2 linked regions of the Caenorhabditis elegans genome follow. The protein of the gene in region 2 interacts with the protein of the main gene of each other region in a pairwise test. Each region holds a gene or a part of one and is shown on either strand. Other genes may lie near its edges. The genes, in order: ceh-30 and sox-3.

Evidence for each region.
Region 1: the proteins of sox-3 (region 2) and ceh-30 interact in a two-hybrid assay, tested with the Caenorhabditis elegans proteins (one large-scale study listed by BioGRID).

Annotation. Positions count from the first base shown.
Region 1 is NC_003284.9:3,059,941-3,068,191, reverse strand, and holds ceh-30 (Homeobox protein ceh-30), read right to left. Parts: upstream 4,619-8,251; 5' UTR 4,487-4,618; coding exon 4,303-4,486; intron 4,027-4,302; coding exon 3,771-4,026; exon of another isoform or gene 3,566-3,770; intron 3,458-3,565; exon of another isoform or gene 3,308-3,457; intron 3,305-3,307; exon of another isoform or gene 3,159-3,304; intron 3,105-3,158; coding exon 2,831-3,104; 3' UTR 2,641-2,830; downstream 1-2,640.
Region 2 is NC_003284.9:14,688,877-14,697,166, forward strand, and holds sox-3 (Transcription factor sox-3), read right to left. Parts: upstream 4,124-8,290; 5' UTR 4,120-4,123; coding exon 3,916-4,119; intron 3,859-3,915; coding exon 3,733-3,858; intron 3,683-3,732; coding exon 3,374-3,682; 3' UTR 3,358-3,373; intron 2,129-3,357; 3' UTR 1,954-2,128; downstream 1-1,953. Other genes in the region: hch-1 (Zinc metalloproteinase nas-34), read right to left, coding at 7,643-7,811, 7,857-8,290. UniProt on the Caenorhabditis elegans protein: Probable transcription factor. Involved in the terminal differentiation of some neuronal cell types. Dispensable for neuronal fate commitment during embryogenesis.

The sequences.
Region 1 (8,251 bases), about 12 Mb from region 2:
TTGTTAACGAATTATTGTTCAATCATGTCATCGTTTCAGGGGTCGTTGCGAGAATGATTTATTGAACTGGTCTTCGTATTGGAATGTCAAACATTTCCTGTAAACTCATGTAACTCAACTTATTCACCATTTGACATGAACTCGTAAACTCATGTAATGTTATTGAATGGAAATTGGGAAGAATTCATCGGGGAAAAAGTTCATCTAAAAAAGAAATAAACTATAGAAATGGCAATAAAATCAGCTATTCATCTGAAACTACTCATCTCTGTCCTAATTAGTTTCCAATTTCCTCTCATAAATACCGCAACTTGTCCCGAGAACTTTACCCGGCGTCTTTCCACTATAACTTATTCCAAGCATACGGTGTCTTCCTAGGAAAAATCCGCTTTGAAATTAAAATGCGGTTTTGAAAGTGTGCATCACTTCTAGCCATTGTTCTTTTTCAGAGAATTTATATCTAGAAAAATTTGTGTGATAGTGACAGAATGATTGATTGAAATCACAGTAAAATTGCAGAGTTAGAAAAAAATGTGTGACTCCGCAAGAATTCAATTAAAAAAGCCAAAAAAAATTTTCAAAAATTAAAAAAAAAAAAAAATTTCAAAATTTTATCGCTGATCAATTTAGGATCCCACTACTTTACCTTGAAAGGTATTATCCTAGTTCCTTTGGAAATCATCAGATACGTAAAAAACATATTCTGCCAGTTGGTGAGCAGCCGAAACACAGAATCGTGATGCAAAATAGAAGAAATACGGTAAAATACTCGAAAATCTGAAAATCAAGAACTAGACAATTTTGTAATTTGTCCTATATGCAAGTGTGATCAACTGTTCAATGATCCCGATTAAAGGTGTCAAACTTTTGCCTTCCCCCATATCATACACATTTCTCCCAAATTAGCATCATCTTCATTTTTTATTCATCCGGGAGCTCATCGGACAAAGGAGACGACAGGTGTATACGTGTATTTGTCAGTGTGTGTGTGTGTGCTGAGTGTAAATTGAATCAATTGCCACCAGCCCCCTGAGCTAATTCCCTTGTAATCTTTTTATTGAGAGCAGCAGTCAATGATACATTAGGGGTGGTTGACGAGCCACATCATCAGATCACGGATCGGTGCGCAGAACATCATGATTGTCTCCGTTGTGGCATAAAATATGGGAAGAAGATCAAGTGATTGTAAAACAATCATTAGATTATCTTATTCTACCTAATCCAGAGGTTGTTAAAATAATACTAATTATGAGGTTATAATTTTTATGACCCCATCGACGGAACCAAATTCATCGGAATGGTTGCAAACTGTGTTTTTGGATGTGTTCATTCACAATTCACCCCACTACCGTTCACGGTGTGGTGTCCAATTGCTTTAATGACACCGTTCCTTCAAAATCCTATTTATTGGCGGTAGACGATTACCGTACTCGTCTCCTTTCTCCCCTGTCTATTCTCGAATTAGATGTCAAGTGGGTTTCAATGTGTATATGTGGGTGTGTGTGTGTGTGTGTGTGTGTGTGTGTGTATGTACACGACCAATTTGTCTAAAGACGAGAACGATGATCAGGATGAGGGCCTGGAGTTTCTCAAATGCGAGATTTCCACTAAATGAGCCTGGTTTTGTGGGCGACGAAAAGGGGAAACATAATAGAAGAGGAGCGTGTTACATGGAATTAGGCGTGTTAGTTGTTAGTTGTCACTGAACCGGAAGAATGCACACTTCTTGCGTGCTTACACAAACATACCACTAGCCTAACACACTACCAATTACCAATTATCTTAAGCTTACTAATGAACGACACTTGTGCTCTTCCGGGGACAAAATTGAAACAATGAACTGTAGAATGGAAGCTGCTATGATTTTTTATCCTTAAAAATTTATACCATTTCAGCAATATGAGTTAGAGAGAGCAATTATATATTGTTAAGTCAAATGTTATAAATTGAAAAATGTAGCATGATAGTAATTCTTGAAAATTTTCTAATTTGAAAGGCATCAAAATATGTACTATCGACTATTTTTTCTAGGTTCACTTTAAAATTTAAAAGTTCACAAACTTTAATTTTATTATCAAGTTAACAACAAATTTGTATATATTCGCGCCTGTAGCAAGCATTTTAACTGAGATCGTGGCGAGACCCACTCAGAAAAACAATTTGTGCCTTTACTATGAATGTCAAAATTTTGCTAAATTACTACATATCATTTTTGAAAAAAAATTTTGGAAAATTTTTATTGCGAGAAATGTTTATTGTTACTGGTGAAAACTGAGTTCGATTCACACAAAAGTACCAAAATTTCCAATTTCTATTTGAAAGGTTTTATCATGATCTTTGGACATTTGAACACCATAGAAATAAGTTTTACTAATTTCTCCACATTTTTTGAAAAAGTGAGCTAGGAACCGTCTGTCAGGTAAAGGTATTTGTCGAACAGGTGAGGTGTTAACGACGCCTGCCAAGTATTCTATCTCACATATTTACCTCTTCCGTCGCGATAAAATCAGAACGGTTGCGCCACTCGCCAACACCTGGCGCTTCTGGCACGTCTTGTGTTCATTGTATTTTTGAATGCCCCACCATCTCCAGTTTTCTTATCAGATTTCGGAAATCGTCATCATCCACGAACAGCATAATAAAATAATAATATTATTATTAATGACGTGGAAATGACATAATCAAGCAAAATAAAAATAACACAAGCGATACATATGCAATGTTGTGAAAAAAAGAAAGCGTCTTCTCCCTATCTAACCCATTGAGATCGGTTTTTGTGACTTTAATTGAAAATATTACATACAAATTTTAAAAATTAACACAAGAAATACTATTCTGAGTTGCTGGAAACATCCAACTGAGGGGATTCACTGGATATGTGAGTGGATGGAGAATTTGAAGAGGAGGAAGGCTGGAAAGCATGGGCTGGGGGAACAATCATAGACATGGGTAGGCCCATCATCGGTAGCTGAGTGCCCATAGGTAAGGCTGTGATATAGTTGGCCCAATATGGACTGCTTCTGATCAAGTTCTGAACTGCGGAGAGGTTTCCAGGTTCCGATAGAAGATCCATTCCACTTGTTGCCTGTCGCTTCCATTTTGTTCTATAAAAAACATTAAGTAATTTGAGTAATTTGAATTGCCGTATTTTGTTCCACTAGACCGGACGTCTTCACTTTTCACATCTTAATTTTTGAGTGTCCCGTTATTGTAATAATGATGTTTTTATGTCGCAACTAGATATATTATATGTATTAACCACCACTTGACTATATTCGGATTAATTCAACGCTGCCGAACCTTGGGACCAAAAGCAGGTGATCTGCCTCTTAGCGGACTCATACGCCTCATTATTGTGCAAAAGAGCAGGAGACCACCCCGGCGATAACTACACAACAATAGCGACGTTTTGAAAGGTTTTCCAGATTGTGAATGCATGGATACATTTCAAAAGAGGCACAAATTCGTCTATCCACTTCATTCACCAATGAAACCGATACTAAAAGCTGGTGAAAATTTGATGATGACGACGATGATGATGCTCTGATGACAAGTCATCACATCAAATATTCACATAGAACACCGCCGCCTTGAACAATAATTAGGAAATGTGAGCGTGGTTGGTGTAGTAATCTACAAGGGTGGGCTCAATTGGCGGCTACGCTTGTTATTAATTTGAGAATGTACATATGTATGTTAAGAATTGACTCTGCTACCAACGATAATTCCAACGATAATTCCAACGATAATTGAAAGACGTTATTACTAACCTTCTATTTTGGTACCACGTCTTGACTTGAGTATCAGTGAGACCCATTCTGTGCGCCAAATCCATCCTGTCCTGGACTGATAGATACTTTTGCTTTTCAAATGTATTCTCCAACTCTTGCAACTGCTTGTCAGTGAAGATGGTTCTTGCCTTCCGAGATTTTTTGCAACTGCCTGGACTACCCATTCGATCGCCGCCGGGGCTGCTTGCTCTTGGCGAAGTTGAAAAATCAGATTTAATTGATTGTGGCGATGGGTCTGAAAGTTGATGGTTATTGATGCACAAAAAGAACAAAACAAAAGATTGACCCCGGAAGAGAACTGTATTCATATGTTCATTAAGGCATTAATCCTTTTACCCCCCCCCCCCCCTACATTCAAACTATCATTTCCGGGTAGTCACCATTGAGAGGAGAAAATCGAGAGCATGGTTGAGTAAATTTTTGATGGGTAACGCGCCGCGCACAAAACTTTTAATGGCTGTCGTTTTGAATGTTTGGAATTTTGGAATCAATTGCAGGTGTAATGACTTACCGTGATCGTTTGAATGGGATGAATTGTTTGGGGATTGCTCGAGAATGTCAGAAATGCGGAATGAAGAAGAAGACGAAATTTTGTTGCACGGGGAAGTTGAAGCTGCTTGAGCTAGAAGTGCTTGTGTAGTCGGATCCAGATAAAAAGCGGGAAGCAGAAACTGCCGAGGGTCGAGAAGTGACATTTTGGGAAGTGAGTGGTACTGTAGAAAAGTGTTAAACGAATGCTTTGCACGTTCGAAAGTCGGGAATGCGACACTGTTGAAGGCACCGATGATTGGTTATTGTCGGACGATGAGGGGTGACTATAAGACAAGTTAAATGTGCGAGAGTGGGCGGGGCGACGGCCTGGCAATTTGGGTGAGAGAAGAGGGTGCGTTGACATTGGGAAGGATGATGCAGCAGCAGCTACCACCACCGCCCTCCTAAACATGGTCATGACAATTACACTCGATTTTCGAGATCCAACGCCACATGAGAAGTCAATTATTTGTATTTAATAACACGAAATCTATAACTTGACCTTTCATTTTGCACATCTCAGATGATGCGGGGGAAAATGATGGCGAAAATGAGATGGGGGAAGATGGTTGGGAATAGCTGCACACTGCGGCTAATTGGAGCAACCTGTCAAACGGTGGTTCTAGGGAAACATTTGATGAATTGTCAAACTTGGAAATAAACAATATGGAATATTATTCTGCCAAAGCTGGATATCGAACTCTAATTTTCAGGTTGGTGCTCGAAATGTTAAAGTTTCATTTTCACAGTTTTTCACTTACTTGCAGAAAGACCATCTTACTAATCTCCATATATAAGCTTAGTCGGTTTGTTTTTCACAAAATCGACAAAAGGTTACTCAACGTATTTTTCGGCAAAAAAAAGTTATAGAAGTTACGGTAAATTTTTGTTACGAATCACGATTTCAGTAACCTGTAGAAATACGGTGATTGTTTTTTATTTAATTTCAAATAATTTCAATCATTGTTGTAAACACTCTGTTTCCTTTTTTTCTGAATGAATACATATTTTTGTCGCTTTTCTCAAATTAGTTCTGTTTATAGTTTCATTTTCCCCCAAAACACGTAATGTTGCAATAGAGTTTCAGAATAAGGCCACTTGCCGATATTATGAACAATCTTCGCTCTGTCCTTGAAACAATGCATTTTCACATCTTAACCAGACACAAAAATAATTTGAAACTGCAAAAAGCGTTAAAATCCCATATTCGGAGTGACAAAACCCATGTAATTAACATCCACCGATTCCTATATTTCGAAGAGAAATCTACTCTGAAGTGTCGATTAATTTTGCATACTAACCGTCAATTACAAAACAAATAAAATGGTTTTTTGTTTCGCGATTCCAAGCCGATTGGCATGGAAGGACATTCAGCTAATTTTCGACCGCCCAGCTATGTACATAGACATGTTTCAAAGTCATTGCGTTCCTCATTCCGCCAGCAGTTGTTTTATTTGATAGTTCACATAAATCATTCTCATTAGCTCTTTCTTCTACTTATATATTTGCTACCTTGGTAATGTTGAGAAACAAGATGATCGTTCCGTCCTTGTATATTTAGAAGAGGTGCAAAAAGCGGAGACACTTTCAACTCAACGTAGCGTAAAATATTGGGCGCGCAGGAAGATTGACTGGAAAACGATACAGTTACAAATTGAAAAATGGGAAGTTGAAAAAAAAAGGAAAATTGGAAGTGGAAATGAAAATGCATTAGAGATAATTGTCATTTGCCATTTCCCCCACTCTTAATTGTGAACATACATCTTGACACCCAGTAACAAGAAAAAAGCTGGCAATATGAATATGAGCTTGTTTAGGAGACAGAAGCCGCCTTTGAAATCTCCCGGGTAAGCAGGTTCTATTACATAATATCGTATCCTTTCCATACAGCTCATTACAATTGCCAACATAAATAATTAGATTAAAGGACACTCCCGGAAAGGTGTCGCAGACCGGTGGGACCAGCACACACGTGGCTGCTCTATTGTGTTCTGTTGCGCAATAGAGACGCTTCTTTTTTTTTGACAATGGCAATTGAGACCAGGTAAACGACTCCTTCAAGTGTGTGAAGCGGTGTTTATCAAAGCCACCCGGCAATTGTGTCCTTTTTAGGCACCTTTTTATGTGACATGTTGACTTATAGCTTGCACCGATCAGCGGCAGGTTAACGAATACAATTGATGGAACTGCCGGAAGTGTCAGGTTATGGATAAATTTGAAGAGTTATATAGATAGTTGGAAAGATAAAACGCTGCTTTGATAAACATGAAATTTATTTCAAAATTCTTATTACTTAAATATTAAACATATATTGGAACTCGTTTTGAAACCATAGTTTCTAAATTTATTCATTAACAAATTAACTTCTAACAGTGTTAGTATACACGTGGATTTATCTGTGAATTTTGGACAATTCACTGGATTCAATTTTGAACGTTCAGGCAAAAGGTTTAGTCATATTTAATCGTATTTTATAGTTCTCAACTCATATGTGACTGATGTGTTGTTTCTAAGCATTTTTTTATTTATATTGTTTTCAAATTGAAAATTTAATTTTTGCAGTGAAGATAATGTTTTTGCAAAACTAACTTCCTATTTATTCATTGCACAAAACACTTTTATAATCAAATTTTGTCTAAAGCACAATCATGATCATAATGGCGCTTTTTTCTAATTCTCTTTGGTCTTTGAAATTATAATATTTAACTTGACAATGCGGTTTAACTATACAATTAACTATACAATATACAACTACATATACAATTATACATTTTTAAAATTCAAGAAATAAGTGAAACTCTTGCCAAACATAGTTTTATAAAATCGCAAAAATCATTTTGTTTACATAAAATTGGAATTGAAAACTCAAAATGGCTATTGATTTTCCTGAATTCTTCAGTCAAACGTCAACAACCATAATTTTTGAAAACTAGACTATCAAAGAAATTTTGAGCGTTTCAGCAAGCTCGTATTCCTATGACTTTTAAACACAATTTACTGAAATTTTATATTTTGATCTGTATATTCAAACTATTTTAATTTGACTTACATAACAAAAATTAGTGAACACAGATTACCGTATTTCTTCTACTTGTCTTGAACCCTTACGGATCAATCGAAAATTAGTCTTGCATGAAAGACTAACAGAGGAAATACGGTAGCTACCACTTTTTGATAGCAAGTACTATAGAATTTAAAAAAGTGTTCAAAGTGATAGAATTTAAAAAAGATATAGAATTTAAAAAAGTGTTCCATTTAAATAATCTCCTCTCCGATAAAAATCCACTTTAAACAGTTGTTTAAAACCTAGTAAACGTTCATTTTTTTAAAGCGTTATTTTCTCTCAATTCCTTGAACATTTTTCATTTGATTATATATATATATATATATATATATATATATCGTAGAAATCGGTGGAAAAATATATTGCGAAATACCAACTGAAAACAGTCGACCATAATTCCTCTGTTGTCAAATTTTGTACAGCTGATTAAACTGTGCATATACTGCGGGAAAGGTGGGGCCACCACTCGCAGATCTAACAACACGAAACCTTTGTTCTCAAACTATTATATTCCCTCAAATATTATGTAATTTTTGTTATTAATTATTTCCACTTTTTTTCTCAATTCATTACTGTACCCCTCACTCATTGTCTATTCCATAGACCACCACTTGACAAGTTTAATTTGAAGCTGAGTCAGTGAACACAAAAACGTTCCGGGTATTACATAGTTATTGAAAAGAATTGGGTGCTTTTGGTTTAATGAATAATTTTTAGAGAAACAGGGACTAACAACCGAAATCCGGATAGTCGGGAAAATCTAAAATTTATGGGGAAGACTGATGAAACAATAAGGATTTTAACTGAATTTAAAAGTTGTGTTGCGTTTTTGTATGAGGATTTCAAAAATTCATACGCTTCTCCA
Region 2 (8,290 bases):
GTATTGGTATGTCTTTCTTTCAAATTTCCGTTAGATGAAAACAATTATGGGCTACCTTGAGACAAAAAGGCAACACATGGAACTGTGGAGTACTTGGTGAAGTTGAGTTGGAAATTGCAAGACAGTTTGTCACCAATGAAAAATGTGTAACAATTTTATGTGAAAGCCTTCCATTTTTGTTTAATATCATATCTAGCTGACTGGTGAGTATGTACATGTTGGGTAAGTCCACAGTACTTCCTTAATACTTGACAACTGTTGTGCGGCGCAAGGTGTTCATATCAGTGTTTATAACATTAATTTCTGACTATTTTGACAGATGTGCTTAATTTTGAATTTAAATACCAAATAAATACATTAAAATAACGTGTTTCACAAGTTTTTATACTATTTTTTCAATTGCATATATTTAAATAGTGATTTATAAAACATGGCTTTTCATGGACCGTCTCAATTTTCTTGAATTATTTTAAAAATCTGTTACCTGGAATATATATATATATATATTCCTAGTGTATATCAGGGCTGTGCGGCAACCAAGATTTTCGGCAACCTGCAATTACCGAAGTTACCGAACCCTAAAAATTTTGGCAACCGGCAGTTGCCAAAGTTTTTTCAAGGTTTTTTTTCGTTGAAATTATATTTTTGAAGTATGGTCGTTTTATTGTTTACAGTGAAATGCTAGCATTTTTCACAACTTCTCAATGCTTTTTTCTGAGCTACAAAATGTTTGGCATTCATATCTGCAATTGCCAAAGTTGCCGAACCCAAACCACATACTTTGGGCAACCGGCAACTTTTCGTCAACCGGAAACTTGGTTGCCTACTTGAGCGGTTCCGGGTGTTGACGAACTTTTTTCATGGGAAACTAATATCGGAATTGGATTCAGCATACCAATAAATCTTTGTATCTACAAGCTTATCCTGATATCTCAAAAATTGAGCGAAAAAGAGCAAAATATTGAAACATCTAACGCCCACCTGACCCATGAGATTTTTTTAAACATTAAATTTATCAGTTTCAAAATTACATTTAATGTGCATAGTACATAGGCGTCCACAGTAAGTTCAACCATATAGTGCTTCTGTCGTGTTTTCAAAAATTAATTATATTTTCATGCTTGTAAAGTAACGCTTGAAAAAGTTTTAAATGATGTGTCGTTCTCGAAAGAGGAAGTTCAAGTTTTGATGTTCACATAGCCAGGTTTGACTAGGTTTGGATAAGACCAAATTATAAGTCGTGGATTCACTGGAGCACTTGTTAATTTTTGTTTAATGGTAAAAATACTGTAGCGTCATGTTCAAGTTGCTCATTATTATGTCATAAGCAGTTATAAATCTTATGTTTCAACTTAGATAAATTGAGTATTAACTTAAGGTCGAAAAATTCTCGCAACATGACCTGTTTCTATAAATTTCCATCTAACAAATGACCATGAAATGGTTTAGACTTCCCTCAACTTTTTTCTCAGCGTGTGAACCGATTTGATTAGGCGTTTTAAGTGCGGACATTGTTCTCTTTGTTCAGGCAACCTCAACGAAAAAAAAAATGTAACTCCATGGGGGTATCGGTCGTCAATGACAGAGGAGGTGACAGGGGACAGCAAATGGTAAATATCAATGGCAAGGGACAGTGGGGGTGAAAATAAAGGAGAGAGGAGTAAAAGTTGTTGAATACCTTCTTTCCTTCCTTGATTCTATTCATTCGTTTCAACCAACAATGAATTGGAAGTTTGTTCTTGAACAATTCAATCTATTGTATTGAATTTGTTGTACAATAGAAGTCGCAAAAATTGAATACTAACATTACATTGGGCGCCTATTTATTCTTGTACACTTTTGCGGCAGGCACACTTTGAACAACCGTTAAAAAAAATACCGTATCCTGGTGATGAGCTTTTGAGTGCAGCTGACAAATAGATAAAATTGATAAAACCCAAAGTTTGTAGTTATTTCTTCACAAAATTTTATATTTCATTTATGGAAGATACAGCAAAATAGAAAAGTACAGGTAGGTTGCACATAGCACATTCGAATCAAAATTATCGAAAAATTAGAATCAATTTGTCTGTATGGCATTTGTAGGGAGATTCTGCTCATTGAAGGTGAAGCATGGTATTGAGCAAACCTGAAAATCAGATGGTAGTTTAAAATACAAAGTAAAACACAATTCCCAAACACATATAGACTATTCATCATTATTCTGAGTCATTTTTATTGTCTTTTCTCCGAAAGCGATAAGAAAATGGAATCATTGCTCATCTTCAAATCTAAACTGCACACATATGTCAATCATTCAGTAAACAGTACATTTCAACACAAAGCGCGCGACTTATTCGACTTATTCGCGCATGATACACTCACACCTTTTCATTCATTCATTTTTTGTGTGTTGGAAAAAATCAAACCGATACACTTCAAGTGAAAATAATAAGAATTTGGCATGGAACAATGTAACCGTGTGTAACCGGAAGTGCGCGAGGTGCACAATACACAAATTGGCGGGAGTCGAATTTAGTGGTGGTGTTAATTCAAAAAGAGAAGGGGGAAAGGAGGGTTTTACACTTGGACGCGTTTCTTATGGTTATGAACCGATTTCGGTCGGAAACAAGTGACCGACCACCTAATGTCTTTATAGCGGAAGAAAAGGAATGAATGACTTGTGGGAAAGTTGATATTTGAAAATTGAAGTGTAGTAAATTGTTGGGCGATTTGTATAGTTTGAAACAAGACTAGATAAGAATTAAGAGCAAAACGTCAACTAGAAGTTCAACGGAACATCAAGCCAACAAAAACCGTAAGATATATTCTTCCCAAAAGCTTTGCCTACCGTTAAAATTAACTTAATCTTTAAAAGTAAAAATTTCAAAATTTCTCAAATATTGTGAGCCTAAACTACTAAATTTTAATGTTAAAACTTTTCAAAAATTATTATTGCGTATTCAAGTTTTGATATGGAAAGCCTCAAATAAAATATTTTCAAATTTGGGTAGCTTGTTCATTACAGCCGCTGACTTATTTTTTGTCGATAAGCTCACAAAAATAAGCAACACATTTGTGTATTTATCGACTGTAACTTTTTTTAAAAATAAAACAAAAATGGAATCAACTACTGTAATATGGGATTGCGGTAGTTTGGGATTTCAGCTACACCGATTAATTTGTTTCAAAGTTTTGAATGTCAATAACACATATATAAGACTTTTTCTAGAAATTTTAGAAATACAGAAATGACTAATATATTGTTATGATACATTTTTTACTCTTATGTGGCTCTTCAAAGATCAACATTTCTCTTTTCTGTTAATTCAAAATACCTATACCTTATTAAACAATTCAAAAAAAAGTGTAACGTACATGACAATTCAGCAAGTTACGTGGCAGGAGCTGTTGGCGTTGTTGAAGCCGACACTTGACTTGCAGCAGCCACGGCTGCAGCTTGTCTCGCATAAGCAGCCATCATATTGTATGGAGCATAGGTTGAGCCGGATAATACGGGCGATTGGAAGAATGATGAGTAGTATTGGGAGAGGTCATGGGTTTTCAATGAGTCGAATGCTGTGGAATAGTTGAAAAGTGATTGTGGCGGGATGGTTGGCATGGCGATGTTCAAACGAGGTTGTTGCTTCAGATTGGAGGATTTTGGCTTTCTTCGTGGACGGTATTTGTAGTCTGGGTGCTCCTGAGTATAGAAATTAATAATATAACTATTGAAAAATGTAATTAAACTACCTTCATATGTAAAGCTCTGAGCCGTTTTGCTTCATCAATAAATGGTCGTTTTTCCTGCTCTGATAGCTGTTTCCATTCTGCACCCAACCGTTTACTTATTTCGGAATTGTGCATTTTTGGATTATCCTGAATAAATTACTTACTTACATAATAACCTAAAAAATTTAAATATTTAAAATGCACCTGTGCCATTTTCCTTCTCTGTCCTCTGCTCCAAACCATAAATGCATTCATCGGCCGTTTCACATGATCCAGCGAGTTTTGTAGATCGACTGGAGAGCCCGGAGGGCTTAAACCAGATGAAACAGACGTTGTGTCTTCGTCATAAGATGTTTTTGCAGCTTCAGTGCATAAAAGTGAAGGATACAGACAAGAGAGGTCAGTCATACCGCTGAAAGACAATGTATGCTAACAAAACTTTTGAAAAAATTAATACCAAATACAAATAATTTCGGGAAAACTTTGGAAATAATTTGAAAACAAGAAACTAGAAACCGAGAACTGGAAACCCTACTCATAAAATAAACGTAAGAGAGAAAAGAAAACCTGAATGAGGAAATGGTAAATTTCCGAAAAAAAAAAGAAAGAGAGACAGACGCGTGCTATATTATGCGTGTCCTCCCTCGTCTCAGTGGCCAACAAGAGGCGGCGCACAAATAGACGAGAGACAGTAGGCGGAGCCAAAATGAGTTGCGAGGAAATACGGTAATCGAAATTGATACTCAAGATGGCTCCTATGTGACCCTACTGAAATAGCAACTTACGCTGATATAATGATTGCAAGAACTCGTAGGAAGGTGAATGAAGTCAAGCATGAACTGTGAACTAATTTTGCAAATTCTCAATATTTCAAAAGTTATTCAAGAGTTCCTAGTTAGTTTAGTTCAGTGAAGCAAAACGACTTTTCTAATAATAACGGAACACTGAATACCTAGTTTGAGCATTTTCAAAAACGAATACAAGAAAAACCAAACACGTTTTTTTTTTCCATGAATTCTTATTCGACATCATATGACACTGTGCTAACAAACACATCGTGCTGATACTTTGGATGATACAATGTTTTAGATCGAACTTTTTACAGAGGAAAGTTAGGTGAAAAGTGACGGTTGACGATGGACGATGGGGCACAATATTTAATGTTGAAAATGTGTAAATTCGTGTTCTGTTTAGAATGTTGATTGTTCACTTCCGACCCCTCTCCGAACAGAGTTGGACGGGACGCAAGGCAAGAAATTTCAAAAAATTGCAAACGTGTTAAATCCTTAATTTAAATCCATTTCAAAATTTTTATGGTTTCCAGCACAATTATGTTTTTGAGCTCAACAAATTTTTAAATTGTTACCTGAACGTATTCAGAAACTTATATATAAAATCTATAAAACTAGATTTTTTAAATACCTAAATGATGTATCAAAACTTTCAAAATCAATTTGAAATTTTAATAAATATGTAGAGTATCTTTAGTATGGATAAACTTAAGATAATCCAACGTGATTGAATGTTATAGGAAAAAATTGAAAACTTTAGATTTAACAAACTTTGCAATCAAATTTTGGTAAATTGTTTAATATATGAAAAATTTGGGCTTCAAGGTACTTAGAGTATTGCCGCTTGTTTGAACTACTATTAAAAACAATTGGAAAAAAATTAAAATATACTACTCCTAGTGAAAAAGTTTTTTGGTCGACTTCAAAATTATGATAGGTAAAAGCTTTTTGACTGTGTATATATAAAACGTTTTACAGTGATATTTGGAAATTATAGCATTATAAGGCATATGCTCATGCTTAAATACTGTTATCCTATTTTTAATTTTCAAGCATATGTATATGAGTTATGAGGCATATGTATATGAGAACTGAGTCCCTTATTGTACCTCTAACTGGAAAATGTGTAATGTTTCACGTTCTAGACTACATTTTCTCTGTACTCATTACCTCCGTACCTCACCCTGTACCTTGAAATTCTACAGTACCCCTCTCCTGTAAACATTAGCTACTCACACAAAAAACAATACACTTCACATGACAAAAACTATTATTTTTACAAGAATTGAGAAAAGAAAGGGAAAAATGGGAAAGACAAAGCTGGCGGATCCGAGGTCCAGCACGCTTGAAAATGGTTCCTTTCTACAATGTAAATTTGCGATAACTTCGTTTTCGGCCCCTCCATCCCCCTCTCTTCTCTCACTTCTCCAGCACACCGCCCGAAGGCACCCACCACACTACCAGCACTTCAGAACACTTCTGGAGGACACGAGTTAATAAAGAGGAGAAGAGCTGTGATGGATTAAACAGTTAATTTGATGATTGCTCGCGCGAAGGTTTTGTGCAGATTATAAGCCAATTTGTTGTTTGAATAGATTTCATTGGCGTTTATAATTGAGATGAAGTTGAGATGCCACTAACACTTTTGTTTGTTTGTTGAGATGTTGTCCTGAAATTCAGAAAAAAAAGAAAATGATAACCGTTCTAGTCTGACATAGCTTAAAGTATTGGCACAGGTTGGAAAGAAGATCATGTACGTAACTTGTCTATCGTGCATTTTTTCTTCCCCGGACACTGTTTCAACATTTTTTTTAATTACCAGACAGCTTTTGAAGGCTGAAATTCATAACTTAAAATGTGTGTATTTAACAGGTACTCGCTTCAATTTTTGTGGAATTTAATCGAAAACATACTCAGAATAAATGAATAAATGAATAAAGTTACAAATAGATTTTTAAACTTTTTCTGTTTTTTGTCAGCATCTAAAAAGTTTTTGAAAAATTTGTAGTTGTTTTCTTTTTGGAACATTTATGCATGTTCGAAGACCTAAAACTTTTTAAGATAAGTAATTGAGTAATTGACCATAAAATAATACTCGGAGAAGTTTTTTTACTGATTTTCAAAATTATGACATGCAAACTGTAAATTAAATTTTTTTTTCAAAAAACACACACTTTTAAATTGTTTAAAGTAATATAATTCCAAAAGTTTGCCAACTGGTGATACCCTTTTTTTAAGTACAGTAGGCACAAATAGTGGTTTTTTCTCCACTCATTTATGCTAGTAACAAAAAGGAGACCGGTCAATTGGTGCCACCCATCTGACTTTTTTAAATATTTTTTACATTGTTTGCATAAGTACCTCTTGGTTCTTATTCACATAAAAAATTGAATTTAGATTATATGTTTAGTTTTGCCGATTTTATTCTAAACATTTTCTACATATCACTCCACTTTTCCATAATATTGTTTGATATCCATTAGCATAAAACATACGATTAAATGATGACACTTCATTAGCCATTGTCATACGGTATTTGCAAACACACGCCGCTCTCTCTCTCACTGCCACTTTGCTTCCGATCTTTGATAAAAGCCAAGTTTACAAGACGATTTAATAAAGGGTTTTATGAACTTTGACATTGTTGAATGCTCAACATTGTTGCAATTGACTTCTATTGTGTTGATGACCGTAACCACTGAAAAGCCCCCAAAGCTTACATTTTATTAGATTTGACTGATGCCGGATGGGAGTCATATAATAGATTTGTAAATTGAATCATGTATTCTTCTTGGCGTGGATTCTTGACATAATCCTTTGGGAATATCACTTATTATAATTTGGCTTTGGTTCCTCTTTTCTTGGAAATGTAGAAATAGCGTCATTTTATAAAAAACAGGATTTGAAAATTATTCTTGAAAAACTACTGAAAAAAGAATCGGATCTTACGTCAGATTGGAATTCCAGAAATTGTCTTCGTTTAAAGTTTTTTGGATAGATTTTAATATTTTTGAGGGTAAAAAGTTTGCAAATAAGATGAAAAAAGGTATTTATTAGATAAATTAAAATTTTAAATATTGTTATTGATCAAAATACTGTTGAGATTGGTATTGAAAGAACATTGAGAAATTATCTAAAAGTTAGCCTTTTCTCTGCTCAACATATCGTTGTGGAGCCGCTGGTGTATCTGCTCCTGGCCGTCTACAGTATCCAGTGCCGAACGATGTTACGTAGAAGAACGGACGGCAGCAATATCCTCCAGTACATGGGTTGGTGTTACAGTAGACAGTTTCCACGTAGGTACCGCATCTGTAATTCATAAAATAAGTATCAGAATAAATCGCATTCAGTCACCTTCTCGATTGAGTTCCACATCCTCCACATTGTGCGGAACAAGCCGACCAGGATGCACATTGCGATGTTGACGTGGTGGTCGTAGGTGGAGCTTGGGTAGTGGTGGTTGTTGTAGATGTGCGAGCGGTAGTTGTGGTTTGCCTGGTAGTAGTTGTAGTTGGGGAAACGGTTGGAACCGTTATTGGAGCCGTGGTCGTGGTGGTGGAAGTGGTTGTTGGGGCAGATGTTGAAAAAGTTACAGGATCATAACGATAGTTCAATGAGAACCTCGCTCCGTTTACTCCTTTATAAATCACAACAAGAGTATTGGTTTCAGATAAGGAGATAGTTGGATAAGATGCACAGAATCGTGCTCCAACTCTGCTGAAATCTCTTCCGTAGTTGATTTCCAGGTAGTTGGTGGTGCATGGAGAGTATCGGGAGAATGTGGCAGC